2 linked regions of the Saccharomyces cerevisiae S288C genome follow. Changing the gene in region 2 together with the main gene of any one other region gives a genetic interaction. Each region holds a gene or a part of one and is shown on either strand. Other genes may lie near its edges. The genes, in order: CMI7 and DPI35.

What was found.
Region 1: mutations in DPI35 (region 2) and CMI7 together harm fitness less than expected from each alone (positive genetic interaction), as found in Saccharomyces cerevisiae (one large-scale study listed by BioGRID).

Annotation. Positions count from the first base shown.
Region 1 is NC_001141.2:347,963-351,012, reverse strand, and holds CMI7 (Cmi7p), read right to left. Parts: upstream 713-3,050; coding exon 503-712; downstream 1-502. Other genes in the region: phosphoinositide 5-phosphatase INP51, read left to right, coding at 1-422; iron-sulfur cluster assembly protein CFD1, read right to left, coding at 1,010-1,891; BET1 (Bet1p), read left to right, coding at 2,508-2,518, 2,650-3,050.
Region 2 is NC_001145.3:530,041-533,765, reverse strand, and holds DPI35 (Dpi35p), read right to left. Parts: upstream 1,648-3,725; coding exon 739-1,647; downstream 1-738. Other genes in the region: ribosome biosynthesis protein RRB1, read left to right, coding at 1-603; POM152 (Pom152p), read right to left, coding at 1,949-3,725.

The sequences.
Region 1 (3,050 bases), on a different chromosome or scaffold from region 2:
ATATACTATTTTCCGATCATCGGCCCGTATATGCCATATTTAGGGCTAGAGTGACTGTAGTGGATGAACAAAAAAAGACTACTTTGGGTACGCAAATCTACGAGAAGATTATGGAAAGGCTAGAGGGATTGGATGATGATGAGAAAATTGCAGTTTTGAGTGATGATGCATTTGTTATCGAAAGTTTTGAGGGCAGTGATTCGATAGCTGGCCCTACGCATTCTCCGACACCAATTCCCGAGCCCAAAAGAGGTAGAAAGTTACCACCACCTAGTTCGGATTTAAAAAAATGGTGGATTGGAAGTGGGAAGCAAGTTAAAGTAGTTCTTGACGTAGACCCGGCCGTTTACATGATTAATCCTAAAAGAGATCCCAATCCATTCGTTGAGAACGAAGATGAGCCACTTTTTATAGAAAGGTAAGTAAATGATCATTAGTGAAAAGATTATATATAAATATATTTATTTAGCGTTCCTTCCCTATGCGGCTGTGAGCGTACTCTCTATTTTTGGCTGGAACTTTTTGCCAAATCATTGTTGTCCCTGTGTAGATCTTCTAACTGAACTAACAGAGAGTCCATTTTCTTTTCCATTTCATCCAACTTAAGTTCGACTTCCGAGATTTTCTCTTCTCCTCCTTTTAGTAGGTTCAAAACATCTAAAATATCCTTTGCGCCTGCAGTACTGACATCTTCGGGTGTATCACGAGTCATATTATTGACGACGAGTGAAGTGTTCTGCGATTTCTCTAGAGTAATTGATTCAGTTGCTCTTTCTCAAAATTGTGTGATTAAATATTATTTCTTTGTCAATATTTACCCGGCCTTTTAAATTTGTATCACCACTTGAAGAACATGCTGCAGTTGCCGGTTAGCTTCTAACCACCTTTCGATATAGGAATCGAAATAGGAATCGAAATTTATTTCTAGGCCCAAGGATCAAAATATAAGTGTATATAAACACACACACACACATATATATATATATACGTACATGCATAGGAGAGGATCTTATTTTGGAGATTCTATCTGGGGTTGCTCGTGTTTATCCACAACAGGGGTTGTAGTGTCTTGTTTCCTCAGTTTCTTCATTATTTCTTCAAAAATGGGACAAAGAGATGATTCTCTGTACATTTCTACAAGCGTTTTTTTACTTGAAACTTGATTCTCAATCATTTCTACAAATTTTGGATCTATAGGAACGTTACCAAGGTATGGGACAGAAAATTGCTCCGATAATCTTTTACCACCCCCACTGGAAAAGATATTTGTACACTCAGCACAATGCGGGCATACAAACCCTGACATGTTTTCAATTATACCGAGGATCTTTAAATCGACCTTCTTGCAGAAATTGATTTCTTTTTTGACATCAGCTGTTGCAACACTCTGTGGGGTAGTTACTACAATACCACCATCTGGTTTGGAATATCTCAGCTCCTCTGCAATCGATATATGTTCATCCGACGTTCCCGGAGGGGTATCGATCAGTAAGTAATCCAGTTCACCCCAGGCGACGTCAGAGATGAATTGTTTTATCATAGAAGTCTTCTTAGGACCCCTCCATATCACGCTGTTCCCTCTATCACCTAGTAGAAACCCCAATGATATTACACTAAGAGAGCCAGTAGAGTTTGTCTCCACTTTCACAGGTTGCCAACCTTCAGGACCTTGATATATAGATTCGTTCTCTAGGCCAAACATCCTCGGTAAGGATGGCCCTGTTAAATCAATATCTAAAACTCCAACTTTGAAGCCCATACTGCAAAGAGTCAGCGCAGTCTGTGTCGTTACCGAACTTTTACCGACACCACCTTTTCCGGAAAGGATCAATATGATATGTTTTATTCCTGCCAAAGAGGCCGCAGGAACGCCTATCTCCTGTTCCTCCATGCTTAATTGTAATAGTCGTATTAGTTTTGGGTGCTCCTCGACGCATGTGTATAGTTTTCATTTTGATGGTGTAAAACGTTCATGACTAATGAAGCCTTCCGATTTCTTTCCATTTTGCTATTACTTGCGCGATGAGCCGTCTAATGTGATTCTTCCAAATAATATCTAATAAACCCATGGTGTTTACTCTGTGATAGGAACCAAAGATCCCGTAATTATCGCTTTGTAATTGTATTTCCAGTTATTTCTGTACATTCTAGGTTACTGTTCAGGGATATGTTTCACTCTTATCGATGTGGCGTGCAAAAAATTTGAAGGGGCGACATATCAGGGAAAGTATTAGTGATTTTTTATAATGTTGCACTATCTCAGATGAAATTTATGCATGCTAATTGGCGGATACTACTCTACCGTTGTTGCAAGCTACGTAGGAACGTTCACGGCTCTTTCTTCCATTAATTTTAAATTGCGAAAGTATCCAGTAGTTGTTAAAAATGGAGTTTTTTCAACTCGCGCCTTTTGCCAAGGAATGGTAGAAAACAAACAGTAGTTCACTTGAGACTGTGAATGTGTTAGAAAATGTGATTGAAGAGCCTCACAACACTAGGCTACACAGATGAGTTCAAGGTATGAGAAATTATTAGACTATTCTAAAGTTAGAGTAGCGCTTTTTGTTAAACATCTACCATAACACCTCGATATTGGGAGTTATTGACCACGAGTGAACTTCGTTTACTAACTATAGCGTGTGTATATAGATTTGCAGGGGGAAACGCTTATCAACGTGATACTGGTAGAACACAGTTATTCGGACCGGCTGATGGATCAAATAGTCTCGATGACAATGTATCATCAGCGCTAGGGAGCACAGATAAATTAGACTACTCCCAAAGTACTTTGGCATCTCTTGAATCTCAAAGTGAGGAACAGATGGGAGCTATGGGTCAGAGAATAAAAGCACTCAAGTCATTATCGTTGAAGATGGGTGATGAGATTAGAGGCAGCAATCAAACTATTGACCAGCTTGGTGATACTTTCCATAACACTTCTGTAAAACTCAAAAGGACTTTTGGAAACATGATGGAGATGGCCAGAAGATCTGGGATCAGTATAAAAACATGGTTAATAATATTTTTTATGGTAGGCGTGCTATTTTTTT
Region 2 (3,725 bases):
GATAAACAACCATTTACTGTTTCAAACAATAAATCCATAGAAGATATCCAGTGGTCTCGCACTGAATCCACCGTTTTTGCAACCGCAGGATGTGATGGATATATAAGGATTTGGGACACAAGATCAAAAAAACATAAACCTGCTATCTCTGTTAAAGCTTCTAATACTGACGTAAATGTCATAAGTTGGAGTGATAAAATTGGTTACTTGCTAGCAAGCGGTGACGATAACGGTACATGGGGAGTATGGGATTTAAGACAGTTTACGCCAAGTAATGCTGACGCCGTCCAACCGGTTGCTCAATATGACTTCCATAAGGGAGCCATTACTTCCATTGCATTCAACCCATTAGATGAGTCTATCGTTGCGGTAGGCTCAGAAGATAATACTGTGACTTTGTGGGATTTGTCTGTAGAAGCTGACGATGAGGAAATTAAACAACAGGCCGCCGAAACAAAAGAGCTACAAGAAATTCCACCACAATTATTGTTTGTTCACTGGCAAAAGGAAGTTAAAGATGTCAAATGGCATAAGCAAATCCCAGGTTGTTTAGTAAGTACCGGTACTGACGGTTTGAACGTCTGGAAAACAATCAGTGTCTAAACTGTATAATACTTGGATCATATATTTACACATAGTAGATTATTAATAAACAAACCCATTCAAAGATATAGTAAATATTACTGGCGGATATGAATAATATCTATCATACATATTTGTTACTGTAACGTTAGGCGCTCAGGGAAAGAGTTCCTCTAAAACCTCAAGATTCGAAACAACGTACTTTCTTTCACTCAACTGTAACGTGTCAGTTTGCTTAGTATTGGCTTCCCAAGTGTTTATTGAATTATTATCTATTTTATCAATTGACAGCTTGTATTCGTCCCGCATTGGTTTACTAATCGAGTTTGAAAGAAACCCGTATTTATCATTTCTATCTAACAGTATACCAGTCCAACCGGCAGCTTCTGCCCCTTCGAGATCGTTCTTTAATTCATCTCCGATGTGAAAGCAATGCTGTAGAATTTCCTCCCTGGTGTACTTTTCGAGTAAATGAGGTTGTTTAGATATAATATCGTCAAGCGCATATTGAAATATTGCTCTATCAGGTTTGGCGAGATTAAGCTCATATGATAAATAAATGTGACCGGAAAATGTCTCAAATAATCCGATATTCTTTAATAATTTGTAAAAAATTGGATCAGTATTGCTTACTATTCCTAAGATAACATCAGGATGTCTTGACTTCAAATCCTTTAAAAATTTGATCAAATCTGGATAAACAAAATACGAATCGAAGCCCTCAAACCGCATTAATATTTCATTTATCATCTCATCGGGAATTTCGTTTGGTGCGAAGACGTTCCTAATCAAGATGGACCACCATTGTTCGGGCTTGATACCAGAATATTTTCCGTATTGGGGATAGTCTTCCTTCAGTTTTTTAAAAACGTGTGGAAAATTGTTTGTTAAAGTCGAAGGATTCGCCTTGATACCATATTTACGCCCAACAATGCAGTATTGTTCCATGACGGGAAGTTTTGTGGCGTATAGTGTATTATATGCGTCGAAAGTAATAATTAGTGGCCTTGCCACCCTATGAACTTCAGACCACGCATTTATAGGTATTCTTTTCGGATAGGTCATTGAGCCAATTTCTGTGGATGTTCAAAAGTCTGCTTTTAACACACCTCTATAGACCGTAAAGGACAAAGGTCTCAGCGCTCTCTTTTTCTATTCATTCACCTACACTCTTTCGAGTTACTATGAGCGAAGATAATTGAATCGAGCGTCTTGATAATTTTGAAGAAAAAGAACAACAAACAATACAGGCGTCTTTTTCGCTTTCTTAAGTATTTTAATACTGATGTACAGAGATATATTATACATTACAATTGTACAAAAATATTGCGGGAAAGAAAAATTTCATCAGACTTTCTTGTAATATTTAGTTATTGAAAAAAAGATCATTTTTGGCAAAACAATAAGCATCTGTAATTTCAATCGCCTCGTAGGTACCTTGCAAGCTTGTAATTACCTTGTATTCATGAGAATATATATCAGTGACTTTATGCGTCTCAACAACCTGCGACCTCCTTTTGCCGTGTTTTCCATCAGTCTCTTCTGTCCTTACATAAGTTAGTGAGAATGGTGGGGTACCTTCAAACGAAAAGATTACTTCAGCCTGGTCACCTTCGCGGATATCCTCAGTAACGTAATTTCCTTGAGAAACAGTTACGGAAGGAATAGGATGTATGTTTAAAGATAAGTCATCAAATTCACTCTTTAATTTAGGGTTCGTAAAGTCGACAATGCATTGTGATGATGAATCCTGTAAAGAAGTGATAGATATAATGCCCGGTTCAGATGCTAATCTAACAAATTGGGAGCTGCGTTCCTTAGATTTTAGTGGAATACCGTTGAATTCATACTTAATCATGAAAGGTGCCACACCGTTTAATTGATATGCAACATAGTCCCCAACACAATACTCGGTAGAAGGATCTAATATATGTATCTTTGGTGCATCAGTAATTGACACAAGAATTTGATTACGCGGTCCAGATATGAGGCTGTTAACACAACCATTTGCGTCAACAACAGAATCAATAGTAATGGCATGGTTACCTAACTTCATCCCTTCATATAACTTTTCAAATGAAAAGTTCTCTGAGTCAATGTTGTCAATGGTATACTGATCTGTCCTACTGGTACTCTCGTGATAAACGCTAAAGGTGATTGAAAATGGGCTTTCGCCTTGTAAAAATTTCAAATTTATTGGTTCCAAAAATGAGATTTGATCTACATTAGCAGCACATGCACGCAAGGTTTTACCACCATCAGCAAAGGCGACGTCTGGAATGGGGTGCACTGTCTGTTTGATTATGAGCTCCGACTGATGTTCTCTAAAATGTATGTCGCTTTCACCATAATTGCCATCGAAGATGGCCTTAATAGTAGTTATGTACTCTCCAGGAATTTGATTAGGCAGTTTCAGTGAAGCGTATTTGGTTGCCACCTGAATTTTTTTTGTAGAAATATGACCGTTGGGTGCCATCAAATCATATTCTAATATGAATGGTGGAGAACCAAATAGAGCCAAATCAACCGTACCTTCCATCCCTTGACAGACTTCTTCTTTAGAGAATAAATTTTCCGTTACTTTTGTAATGTGATGATTGTCTTGAATTGCAAATTTTGGCTTCTCCAAGAAAGATACCTTATACAGACTGTTCCGGTAAATCACATTACCTTGGCAACTTGAGTCACGAATATCGACCAATTGGTAAAGCCCTTCTTTACTTACTTTCAAAGCGGGCTTATAACTATTCTGAAATTTGTTTTCAAATTCTTTCACAATGTTTCCATCGTAATCCATGTGTTTAAACTTAACGGTGAATGGCCCCTCTCCACTTAATTTGAGCGGAATTTCAGTGACAGAACCGTGCTTAATTTTAGCTTCTTTGATAGGTTCAAAAAAATTGAATGCAGCAGATGGAATATCTCTCCTCACCTGTATTTTAGCATCTGGTTGGCTGAGTCCAACTACACAGCCGGTAGAATCCTTGATAGAAACCAAAGATAGAATATAATCACCACCAGTAGTAAAGACTGGTGTTTTAATGACATATTCGTTGGTTTTTATTTCTTTAATTTCAAAAGTTTTCCTCTTGCTAGAAAAAGTTTCAATGATATCATATGTTAACGTAAAAGGGCCTTGGCCT